2 linked regions of the Oryzias latipes genome follow. The protein of the gene in region 1 interacts with the protein of each later gene in a pairwise test. Links are inferred from orthologs where the notes say so. Each region holds a gene or a part of one and is shown on either strand. Other genes may lie near its edges.

Region 1 (6,256 bases):
GAAGTGAAACTAAAACTAATATCACCCGACAAAATCTTATTGAAAATAAAAATGTCAAGCCAACATCAATCTATCCATTACCTCTCCCCACTTCATTCTGATTGGAGCCTTTCCCAAAATTCAAGGGGTAAAGGTAGAGCAGACTGAACATGAAGCAAGACCAGTAAATCAAACAACAACAACAACAATAATAATAATAATGATATTAAATGAAATATAAAAAGAGCAACGAAACAATTAAACAGAACCATTTTTTCATTTTTACTTTAGTGTGTTATAATCATAATAATGAGATTTTATTAACATGAGCTGCATGTGGCCTGCAGTTTGGGATTTTTTTTCCTTTTTCTGTTCTGAAAAAGTAGTTAATTTGTGTTAAATATTTCACACCAAGAGCAAACATAATCAGACTTTTTGTGGAAACGTCCATGTTTTGAACTAAAACACACACAATGTTCTTATTGGAATATTTCAGGTAAACTCCCTGGAATTCTGGCTGGTTCAATTGTTGGCGCCTCAGCACTGATTCTGATCATGACAATGATTGTGCTCCACTTCAGAAAGCAAAAAAGGTAAAGTAGAGACGTTTTTTTTAAACTTCAAAATGTTTCCAGCTTGCACCAATATCTCACTTATTTGTTGTTGTCATGTTATTTATTTTTCAGGAAACCATCCAATTCAGAGGAAGGGAGTATCACTGAAGGCTTGTAGCCGAACCCAGTTTATAACTTTTGTTATTTATCGTTAAACTGTAAATGTCTGATAAGTGGGAAATTTCAATTTAAGCAATTTCTTTTTTAAGATACAAGTACTTTTTATGTGAACATAGATAGTTTAAATACGTTTAGATGATAGAAAGATGATGTTCATGTTGTGTCCATAGTGGTTGTTTTTGCATGATTATCTTTTGCTGAGTTAAAAAAAAGTTTTACACCAGATATGGACTTTTTACGAGTGTGTATGGCAAACAACAGTGAAGCTACAACTCCGTATAGCTGCAAATGTATTTCTGCATTTGTCACAGCCCATATGCTTTGAACTTTTGTCATTTTTTTACACTCCAAACATGTGCTTTAAAATTTTTTTGAATAAAAATGTCCTTGTGCATTATGAGCAGAGATCTTACATGTGACTGCTTAGTGTTTCCCTTTTTCTAAAGTTTCTTCTTTATTGACATGAAATGTTATCAACAGCTGATAACTGACTGATGCGAGGAGTGGCGAGTGACCCTTCAGCAGGGGGTCAATCATAAAGATGTCGGTGCTGTTCAGAGAAAATATTAACTGTATCGGCAAGAATATTTGATAAGGAAAACTACTTTTTGCAGCAAAAACCATGTTTCAATTTGAAAGAAGATCATTACTTGTAGTGAAGTCAGACATTTTGAGTTCATTTTTTGAAGCATCTGAACTCAGAAGAATTGCTCCAAAGCCTCAAGAAAGTTATCATAATTGGTGGTGGAAGGCCTAAATGCAGAAGATTGACATGAGGAGGAAACGAAAAACATGAATTTGTGAATTTTGGCATGAATACAACAGCCTGCCATTAAAGCAACAACCATAAAATAAAATCATATATAGTCCAGACAAAAACTAAATGGTGCTTAAATACAGGACCTGACAAAACCAAATATAAAACCAGACCATTAATTAACCGCAAAACAAACAGCTGTGGCTGTTAATAACTTAAACTTTCTGGTGACTTTGAATTTTGGGAAAACACAAAACACAGGATAGAATAAAATAAGTTAGTTTCTGATGGTTTGAAGTTCAAATTCAAATGAAAATTTCCTTTATAAAATCATAACATTGTATTGATGCACTAACCTTTAAAATTCCAGCTTTTTTTTTGGCCTTTTTTTGATTAGTAGAAAGTGTATTCTTTTTAATTTTTAAGTGATAAAAAACGGATTCCATCTAATGTTTGACATCAAAATAGGTATTTGCACATTGCCAATCCATCACATCATTAGCATCTGGCTGCTATATGTATATCTACCAGTTTTTTTACACTCTGCAATTTAAGACACTTATGCAAAGCTTGTAAAATAAACTTTAGTGAAGTTTGCCCTTACTTTGACCCTAACCTTAACCATAAGTATTGCACACAAATGCACAAATACATATTAGCTGGATGATAACACTATTTTACAGAGGCCAATGCACTTGTGAGCTACAGTAAAATGTTACAGTATATTCACTTTATTTGGTTTCTTATCACACACATTAACTCTGGGTTATTTCCAAGAATTTTTGGATTTACAACTGAAGAGCGTTTTCCTTTCGATGACCCTAAAACACCTTTAAACTGATCTATGCTCATATTTTCATTGATTGCACACTTTAGACTTTTTTATATTCATTAGTAAACTAGCAATAGCACAGCTAAACTTCAGGCAATATTTTCTTTTAACATGTGCTTAATAACATTCTTAAGCAGACTGACATCAAGTCTGTTGTAACCTGGTGTGTCAAACATTAAAACCTGATAAACAATGAAATGTTTATGAGCAGAGTTCAGAAATATTCACGTTGCCTCCCTGATAAATGCCATTCCTCAGATAATTTATCTCACTCAAGCTCGGTTTATTTTTTGAACCCATGAAGATGTTTCTGTGAAATTCCACACCAGCTCCAGAACTCCATAGTCTTTCTCTCCATCTGTTTTTACCAGCTGTAAACACGTCTTTATCTTCTTCACCCTGAGATCCTGTTTGCTCTGCAGTTTTGCTCTTAAGTTAAGTTGGGAGGCTAAAAGCAACGCTTGTGTTTACCGTTTGACTTTTTGTGTGCTGCTTCACATGCAGCTGTGGTTTCGGTGGACAAAGAGCTCCAGTATGTGACGGGACTGCAGAGGCCATGGCTGAATGACACGACTTCTCCCTGCTTCCAGAATCATTCCCCAACAACTTACCGGAGACACTCAAAAGATATAAATACACATAATTGGCATTGTCCTCTCCGAGTCCCAGGGCAACAGGAGAGTTGACGCCCCGGCCCATCACATTTCATCCCTTACATCACACTTGTTAAAGCACAAGTGTGAAGAGGAGGCCGTTGGTTATATAAAGCGTGTGAGTGGATTGCTGCGGACTCCAAAATAGGCTTTTCCCCAAACCTCCTGCTTACTTACAGTTTTTGAGTTTCGTTTTGGTTGGTCTGATCTCGTCTTGCATTTTTCTGTCAGGTGGGAGCAAGAGCTTTTATTTTCAGTCTCCTTTTCTTGAGTTTTGAACCACATGGGTGATCAAAATAAAACACTATCCCGGCCCATATTCCGTCGAGATGTCCGCTGGGATCCTTTCCCAAACTGGACTCAGCCAAGCCGTATTTTTGCCCAGGACTTCGGCATTCCTCCTTTCCTGGAGCCCAATGATCTGGACTGGCTTGACTGGGCAAAAAAGAGACTGGCTTCTTTCTCCTGGCCGGGTTACACGCAAAGCCCCCTCCTGCCTCCCATCACGCCGGACCAGAAGAGTCTGAGACAACTGACTAGCGGTGTGTCTGAGGTGAGAACGGGGCAAAACAGCTGGAAGATCAACCTGGACGTCAATCATTTTTCACCCGAAGAGATCTCCATCAGCACAAAGGATGGCTACTTGCAAATATCAGGTACGTAGGCTTAATTTTTTTTCATTTTATACATAAAGATGTTTATTAATAATTACTGTTTTTTTTAAGGAACTCATGAAGAAAAGCAAGATGAACACAGTTTGGTTTCAAGATGTTTCACTCGTAAATACAAGTAAGGAGGCTGAGAAGCAAATTCGAGACACATTTAGGATGCGACCGTAACATATTTCTGTTTGTGACAAACGTTCTCTCATTTTTTTCGAGGTTACCACAAGGGGTGAATCTGCAGCACATCAGCTCATCCCTGTCCTCAGAAGGAATGTTGTCCGTAGAAGCTCCCGTCCCAGGAACATCCATCAGCAGCCCGGACAATGAGATCGTCATCCCCGTTCAGACCAAAAAGACACAGGACAGTGAGAAATGAACATAGTGAGCAGAAAGTAGCTCAAACTGTGCATAGCAGCAATTATTAAAATTACACAAAGCAGACTAGATTGCTTAAATTTAATGTTATCATTTGCTTTTTGGGAGATTTGAGACTTTTATAATCTAATTTAAACTTAATAAAAAGCAGAAATGGTATTGGATCCAATAAAACAAACCCTTGCTGTCCTTTTTAATTTTGTAATTTTGCACTAAAATTTTGTTTACTATAAACTGGTCTTTATCTTACTGTTCTTGTAGAATGATTGTATTATGCAATTTCAGCCTTCACAATGAAACAGAAATAAAATTTGGTAAAAATACATTTCTTTCACAGATTGTGGTTTTGTCACAATATTCATTCTTGCAGCTCAAACTTTTTTTTAACATGAAAACTTACACCTAAAAACAGGTCAGAGGTCACCAATTTTTTACAACCCATAATAACTAACAGTATATTGTAAGGATCAATATTTTAGGCAAGGACACGGAAAAAAGAATAGACAAAAAAAGTCTTTTTGTAGCTGTGCAGCAAAAATTTACTGTTACTAAATTTAAAACGGTGTGAAGTATGATATTGTTTGTACGAGGTTTCTGAAAATATTATATCATTACCTTGTAAAACAGTTTTAACTGCAAATTTAATAAAGATTTAAAGACTTAACTTAATTTTTTTACCTCTTAAAAACTCTACCTTAATTTGGGGGAAATGGAGACAGCACTCCAAAGTTATATAAAACAAAAATAAAACAAATCTAATATTAATAAAAAGACAAACTTAAAATTAAATTAGTTTTGCTCTTTCCCCCCCCTTTAAAGTTCTCTTTAAGTACAAAAGGTCAAAGTTCACTATTTATGCTGATCTTGATTTTAGCAAATTATCTATACAACACCATAAGGTCATTATCAGTTCCTAATAAATAATAAAAAAATAATAAAAAATATTCTACATTAACTATTTATTATTTTTTTACTATGAAAAGAAAAAGATCAGTGCAAGTGACGCAACAAACTAATCTAACCCTTGTGCTATCCTAGGCACTTTAACATTGGGAGATGGGTCATCTAGACCCACCAGACAGTGCGCTGAACCTTTTTTCTTCAATGATTTGTGATGGATTACATGAAATCTTTCCACCTTTACCCACTTTTGTTATGGTAGGAAGAACACGTCAATGTAAGGGTGGGGTCATCTAAGATAGCACAAGGGCTAATCAAGGAATAGCCAATCAAAAGCACAACGGTGACATCTACTGTTAAAAAAGGAGCATTACATGAAATTGAAAAACGTCAGGAGAATCATTTCATGTTTTGCACAGCTTGGAAGATCCTCCAGAAATGGATGCTTTGTTATAAGTATCTTGCATTTCTGCTTAACTTAATGTTGGCTTATCTCCTAAATGATCACAGCTCAATACATTGGGATAAGTCCAGTAGACAGCTTTAAACAAAGCATAGTCAGAAATAGTTGATTAAGCTTTTGGAGGTGTTTGTCATGCTGGCTCCAGCTGCTTTTTAAAGTAAATACAATTCGAAAATGCCAGTTTATTAGGTCTCAAGTACTAATTTCCTATTTTTCTAGAGTGGTTCATTTATAGATTTTTTACATAATGTAGTTCACTAATGAAGTTTCCCCTAAAGGTTTCAGACCAATCACGGCCCCATCTTACAGAGGAGCAAAACATCAAATAAAGGAGCATGAATTCCTCTGGTGCAAAATAAGGGCCTCTGGTTCAAATGCACATTTTCATTTTATTTATCTTATAGAAGCCAAAAAAGACAGGGGTAACTTGCACGAGGAAGTGGAGATCTGTTTTTTATCGGATGAATGAGAGTTTTATTAGTGCAGTGTGTTGCAGAAGAAAAAGACAACAAAACAAACACATTGACAAGTTTAATTAGAGCTCTAAAATTAAAAGTACTGTTGAAAATGGGGAATTTAATATAATAAGTGTAAGCGTTCCAACTATAGGAAACTGTGGAATTGGTTTCAGACAGGAGGAAGGAAAGAAGGAAGGAAGGAAGGAAAGAAGGTAGGAGGGAAGGAAGGAAGGGATGGAGTGAGTTGGATTACCTCAGCCTGGTTGAGGTTTGCCTGTAGTGTAGTGGTGTCTCTTTAAAGGAAGGGGGAGTGTAGAAGAGGGACAGAGGAAAGAGATGAATAGAAGGCACGAGAACCACCTACCATGACCAAGTGCGTTGTAAATGTAGGACAGAAATTGGAGTGGACCACAAACGGATCGTTGAGCGACATCTTCGAG
Region 2 (6,904 bases), on another chromosome or scaffold:
CTCCACCAGAAGACGCGTCACACCGTTTCCTGTCAGACTAAAGGCAACGACACATAGACTCTGTTAGGAAAATACTGGGATTTCTCTTTGATGCTGTAATAAAGGCCTCATTTCAAACTCAAATTTGCTTAGCGGTTGCCGTCAACGCCTCACTGATGGTCGCAGTCAAATTTACAAGGACACTGACGGCGAGAACGATGGCTCAAAAACGAACGGCGCTGAGCTACCATCAGTTAAGTGCTGAAGGAACAAACGACCACTGAACGCATGCAGCTTCCACAAACGCTTCAGGCGGAGGAGTCCGCCGGCATCCTCTGCTCCTGAACGGGAGCTCCTCAGAAAATCTCCTTGGCCGTCACATAATGTTCCTTGGACTCTCCTCTGTCACCGTCCGCCGGCGTCTCACTGGTGGGCTTGGCTGGCCGCTCCTCCAGCTGTTCCAGCTCCTCCAGTATGGTCTGAACCCGCCGGACTCCATCGCGCCGGGCCTGCCGCACATCTGCGCGTCCCTCCGGGTCGACAGAGTCCAGAGCCAGCAGCTCTTTGGTCAGCAGCTCCTCCAGCAGCAGGTATTTCTTATCATTTTTCTTCCCGCTGAAAGCCTTGGCCTCCTGCTCCAGCGAAGCCACCCGTCCCACGATCTGCTGAACCTTCGCCAAGCCCGGGTGAACGGCGCCCTGCTCCCCCTCTGCTCTGGTTGGGGGGGCTTCAGGGCCGGCTGGGTCCTGAACCTCTGCTTTTGGAGGGATTTGAACCGTGATGTCTGCAACGTGATGCTGCGGCTCCTGGGACTGAGGCTGCTCCAGATGTGGAGCGTCCACCTCTGTGAGCTGCGGTTGAGGAACCGGCAGGTTCTCTGCTTTCTGCAGCTCCTGCTCCACTTTCTGGGCCGGGTCTCTAGTGAGGAGGTTCTGCTGAGATCCAAATAACAAAGTTACAGTTTTATGTCAGAATCTGGGACACGCTGGCAAAAGGAAAAGACCGGAAAGCCCACCTGCGGTCTGTCCGCCTGCAGCTGCGATACCGTCGGGGACTGGCTCCTAAGCGAAGGTGGGAGGCGGGCAGACGCTGCGTCCCGGTGCTGCGGGAACAGCGACGTCGGGGAAGCACTTTCCCGAGAAGACGGCGCCGCAGAGTAGGCGGGCCGTTCGTCTGTCTGGAGGCGCTGGTAGGGGGCGCGCTGAGAGTAGACGGCGGGGTTTACCTGAGGCGGACCCCCTCCGCCCTCATGGATGACTGGAATAGGAATGTAACCGGCCTGGAGGCCGGTGCTGCCGGGTCGACACGGTTGGTGGTGTGTGGCGGTGTGCACCTGAGCAGCAACACAGTCAGAACGCAGTGAACACGTTTGGTCGCACAAATGTTACCCGCTTCAGCTCATGCTGGTCCCTCACTAGATCGCCGGCCACCTTTTTATAGCCAATTTCCATTTTACTTCACAGCTCGCTATGTTCTGCATCCTGATTGGCTGTTGACCTTGTCAATCAATCTCCTCCGTGTATGAAATGCGTTATTTTGAAAACTCCCACTGTAATCAAGGGTGGCTGTCAGTGAAGAACCCAAATGTTACCCGTACCTCTGTGGTTGGCGGCGTGGGCGTGCTGGCCCTCCCGGGCTCAGAGGAGCAGCTGTCTGAGGCCACGTGTAACGGCGATCTGGGCCTGCCGTGAAGTCCGGAGGCGTGCGAAGGAGCCTGACCTTCGTACCGGACACTCTGCGCTGTGCTTGGCTGGATGTACGTACAGCAGGGATGCGGCGGCTGCTGCCGCAGCTCTGCGCCCTCATGGAAGACGGGGATGGGGATGTAGCCGGGCCGCAGAATCGGGTGCTTCATCTCTCGGGTAAAGGTCTTCTGGGTCTCCTTAGGATGTTGTTCTGGAGGTATGTTGGGTCCGTTTGCTTCTCTACTCTGAAATATAGGCAGGGGAAAGAATTTAGAACCAAAAAACCTTTAAATTCATTAAAAAAACACACACAAATCTCAGGTAAAAACTTTAAGACTTCCACCACTGATTCATCAGTGATATTTTGTATAATTGTGTATTTGTGCTTCTATAGTGCTTTTCTAAAGCCTAAAGTGCTTTACACACTCTGATGGGGGCAGAGCAAGGCCAGAATCAAACCCGAGACCTCCTAATCCAGAGTCAACCGCTCTACCTCTGCACCACAGCTGCTCACAAAGCCCCCGTCTCATGCTGCCTCCATGTTTTCCAGGTGTGTTTTCCAAATATAACGGTGCTTTGGGCCGTTGACGTCAGGTGAGCGTCTGTGCAGACGTCTGTGTTCGCGACCGTCCGGCCGCAGGTGGAAATCCTCCACAGATCCACGTTCTGCCTTCTCCAGATCCACGTTCCGCTTTCTCCAGATCCACGTTCCGCTTTCTCCAGATCCACGTTCCGCCTTCTCCAGATCCACGTTCCGCTTTCTCCAGATCCACGTTCCGCCTTCTCCGTCCCGGGTCACATTTCCTCACCCAGCAGCCAAAAGTGACGCTGCCCTGCCAGAACAACCTCTGCATTCCAGCCCGGCAGCTGCTAGTTTGCCTCCTGAAGATGTGTCCCTGTGCCCAGCGCCCCCCCCCTCTGACCCCCAACACGCCAACATCACACAGGACAGCACTTTTAATCTGAAGGAGACCAACTGTTTGTCTTTTTGAATGTTCTTTATGGAACAGGTCACCGCTGTGAACTATTTTCCTCCATGAAAACCGATCAGACAGGAAGAGAATTTAAAAATAAAAGCACGAGATGTCAGGAAGAAGTGAAGGAGCAGAGAGCAACAGGTCTGATGCCCCCCCCCCCTCCCCAACCAAAGGAGACCAAAACCTGGAGGAAAACGGTCAACAATCGGTACCCCGTCGGTGTCTCCTCCGGAACGACCCTTTGCCCTCTGCCCGGGACCGCCCGCCCAGCAGCCCCCGCCACACACAGCAGCCCAGCCGCGGTCCCTGCTGGGAAAATGACCTTAATGTGAAAACGGCCCCCCCGTCCCGGCCGCCACATACTGCAGGGTGACTCATCGCGTAATAATAGTTATGATGACACGAGGACATGGCGGGACCGATCAGCCGTTACCACCGACAATACAATGTTCCGCAGAAACAACCAACGCAGATTCCCCGCGAGCGCTTCCCGCCGGGGAAGCAACTTTGCCCGCGCGCTCCTTCACCTTTGTCGCGACGTGTCTCGGGTCATTCCAGGTTGTGGTTCGGTTGTTGTGATCCACGAAAAACGGCCATCCGGTCTGGGGGTCGATTTTGACCTCCCAGCCGAGGGGCAGGGGGTCGCTGTCGTTGTTAGCCATGGTCGGCGCGGGGGCGCGTGTCTGCACGGCGCTCATGCTGCTCGCGCTCCGGTACTAAGACATTTTATACGGGCGGCGGGCGCTTTAAAGACTCCGTGGAGTGACGTGGGGAAGTGGGCTGGAAGCTTCTGGAAATAGCAGGGTTAACTGTGGGGGCGGCAAGGGGGGCGGGGGGGGGGGGGGGGGCGGAGCTGCAGATCCAAGCCGGAGACCCCCACGAGGGTTTACCGAGAGCAGCTCCACCTGAAACGTGACGACGGACCGGAGAGCAGCGGAGACGACTCCATCAGAGCCCAGACGGGGGGGGGGGGCTAAACATGTTCAAAAACACATGCGTGCCTCCGGCGAGGAACACATGTTCAATGAGATTTGGTCACTAAATAAACTAGTCCAATTCTATTTTATCATTAAAAATGAGTAAAAATCTACAAACAAAATGAAAAATCAAAAGGTTCAAACACAACCCCCCCACAAAGAGACAGCTGCTTATAACATTACTCTGTTTTCCAGTCCAGACAAACATTTGCTTTCATCAATATTTCATATTAAAGCCGCTTTTTGGAATCTAAATTCTAGTGGATACTATCTAATGATTATGTTAAACATATATGAAGGATCTAAACTTTAAAACAACTTTAAAAGATTTAAAAACATACAAAGTAGTCATTCTAAATATGTGCAGCAAACAGCTGTTTGATTATCAAACTGATATTTGAAACCATTGTTATTTATAAATAGTTTAAATTATGTCAAATGCTGCAAAACAGGAGAGTAAATTATTCATGTTGAAAAAATTAATAAATAATTAGGAGTGTGACCATTAATTTTACCTCAATCCAGATGGAATTTTCTAATATTGATTTAATTGATTTTGACACGAGTTTATAATGGTATAGGTCCACTCGATTGTACAAATAGAAATTAATTAATATTAATTAACTATTAATTAACTAGATTAATAGTTAAACTCTTAATAATAATAATAATAATGTCCTTTATAAAGATAAGGCTAAGCTTTCTGTGACTCTATAAGGTCATGTCAGAGACTGTTTATGACTCACCATATATACTGGGATAAACTGTTTATGGGTTAGAGTTATTGTAAAATAATCCATTCTCCCTTTACTATACTGTTGTTATAAGGATAATCACATTAGTGTCGTGTGAATTAATTTTTTTTCTTTACATTTAAATTTTACACTAAATACATATTTTATTTATCTTCATCACTCCAAGGCTGCTGCAATTACATTGTATCACCATATACAATGACAATAAAATTATTCTGATTAGTCAAAAATCTGTAAAAAGAACTCTACAGGCTACACAAAGCCTAACTTTATAAAGCACACAGCATCAAGTCCGGACATTACAGCAGAGTTTAAACAGAAGAATAAAAATAACTCGATAGCTGAACATTAAAACATGAAAGGTGTTTAAAAACAAGTTCACACGCGCTGACACCTGACCCGAGCTTCCAGAAATCCCCTCTGTTCCAGTTATAGCTGACACAAACGGGCATCGTCTCAGGAGGGTCCTTAAAACAAGCGAACCCTTACTTCCGCTTAAAATCTAAGGAAATGACGTAACGTCAGGGGAAAAAAAGACTTTTCTCTATTGCCGTTTAATAGCGTCACCCTGAAATAGATGATTGATACAGAAAATCTAACCTTCGTTTTTCAAACGTTGCATTTTCTTATAAAGGTTATAAAGGTTTAAATTTAGGCTACTTCACCTTTTCCGTAGGACAGGCTGTTACGCATGCGCAAGAGAAACACTCATGGTCTGACGTACGCTCTGTTCCCGTCAGTTAGCATCTGAGGAGCTGGGTAACTAGCTGCTTTGTATTTGACACTAGTGTCGCTAAATGACAGCTAGGTATTAAGCAGCTAACGTTTTAGGACCACGTGACTTTCAGCATCGATCATGGACGACGAAAGCCACCCCAGAACTCTGTAAGCCCCCCTCCCCCGGTTGTGTCATAGTGTTTGCTAACATCTGGAAATATCGGCTAGCTTAGCTTGTCAATGTTAACCCGGTGTGTTCTAGCTTTCCTATATGTGGCGGTAATGTAACCGCAAAGCTTGGAACGAAATAAGACTAGACTTAGTTTACGAGGATATATATATATATATTTATATTTTCTACTAGTTCATGGAAAGTATGTGTAACGGGATCTACATAACCTTACTCTAAACAAATGCAGAATAACATAGAAAGATGTTACTTTTAACTGGATGGTAATGATGTAAATCCCGTCTCTGTGCTTTAGGTACGTCGGAAACCTTTCCAGAGATGTTACCGAGATTTTGATCCTGCAGCTCTTCACCCAGATCGGACCCTGCAAAAGCTGCAAAATGATCACAGAGGTACCGTTCACCAACTCATGTAAACACACAACCATCTCATGGTTAGCAGGTAATGGAGCATTACTGGTTGATGTTCAGATTTCTTTTGGTATTAGTATCTGACATAGGGCTGGATCGATTCGTTTTAATGATTCCATTCATATAATTTGTGGTTGATGATCCGATCCTCTGTCCTAAAGTGGATCCAGATCCTCTTGATCCAAACTTCCAGCAGTGAGACTCAGACAGAAATTCCTGCTACTGAACTGTTTTCCAGATTCTTGGATTTCTTCCAGATCATCAAGTTAAATGAAATCTGTGTCCAAACCAACAAGTAAACTAGAATGAATGTCAAATCCATTCACATGTTAGTTTCCTAAAGTTCACCACTGTTGTTTTTCCACATCCAAAGAATCCAAAGGGAACATTCTTAGAACATTCTAGACACTGGATGGTCACATGACTTTATTCAAAGTCTGTCCACACATTGGACTGGAATGATGGACTGATGTCACATGTGTGTCGTCTGCTGTGATTGGTCGGTTTTACCTTAGAGACACATAAATCTATTGTACCTCAATCCAGATGGTATCTTCCAATTTCAATGTAATCAATTTATTTCATTTTGAAATGATTTTATAATAGTTTAGGTCGATATGATTTATAAATCGCCTGACAGATGGATCTGGTTGGAATAACCAATGAATAGTTTCTTCTCCACTATCTGATTTAATTTGTTTTTCTACATATGAAAAAATGTAAATAATGTATAAAAAGAAGAGGAATAGATGTCAAAGGTGGAAAAAGCAGATTTTTGCAGCACGAAAATCAATCCTGAGGATTTTCTCTTGGAGTCTAAACAGAAACTGTCTTTTCTTTAGACCCTGTAGCTCTGTGGAGCAGATTTCACACATTCAGATTTGTTTGATTGGGAAAAATATGAGATGAGATGCAGAGAAAAGGCAACAAATAAAAAGTAGGTTCTATTTCCAGACAAACGTTAAGATAAAGGTGAAGCATGTAACCTTTTGGTGATCACAAATGTGACGTCTCAGGTCTGGTGAGAGCGGTTTTCATGGAAACGGATTTGCGTATGAAGGTGATAAAGCGTGGAAGCATCTTTGTAAATCGTTGGGGTTCATCTTTCTTCTTGCAGCACACTAGCAACGATCCCTACTGCTTTGTGGAGTTTTTTGAACACAGAGATGCTGCAGCGGCTCTGGCGGCCATGAACGGGAGGAAGATTCTGGGAA

What was found. The genes of interacting proteins can lie anywhere in the genome.
Region 2: the proteins of heat shock protein beta-1 (region 1) and bag3 interact in binary tests that used the Homo sapiens proteins (3 or more experiments, as listed by UniProt). The link is inferred for Oryzias latipes from reciprocal best matches to the Homo sapiens genes HSPB1 and BAG3.

What each region holds. Positions count from the first base shown.
Region 1 is NC_019870.2:13,680,751-13,687,006, reverse strand, and holds heat shock protein beta-1, read left to right. Parts: upstream 1-3,045; 5' UTR 3,046-3,238; coding exon 3,239-3,611; intron 3,612-3,680; coding exon 3,681-3,744; intron 3,745-3,836; coding exon 3,837-3,996; 3' UTR 3,997-4,320; downstream 4,321-6,256. Other genes in the region: sushi domain-containing protein 2, read left to right, coding at 476-572, 666-711. UniProt on the Homo sapiens protein: Small heat shock protein which functions as a molecular chaperone probably maintaining denatured proteins in a folding-competent state. Plays a role in stress resistance and actin organization.
Region 2 is NC_019873.2:29,856,850-29,863,753, reverse strand, and holds the start of bag3 (BAG family molecular chaperone regulator 3), read right to left. Parts: upstream 3,417-6,904; 5' UTR 3,340-3,416; coding exon 3,169-3,339; intron 1,910-3,168; coding exon 1,577-1,909; intron 1,313-1,576; coding exon 995-1,312; intron 915-994; coding exon 336-914; 3' UTR 1-335. Other genes in the region: tial1 (nucleolysin TIAR), read left to right, coding at 5,230-5,258, 5,576-5,672, 6,808-6,904. UniProt on the Homo sapiens protein: Co-chaperone and adapter protein that connects different classes of molecular chaperones including heat shock proteins 70 (HSP70s), e.g. HSPA1A/HSP70 or HSPA8/HSC70, and small heat shock proteins (sHSPs), e.g. HSPB8.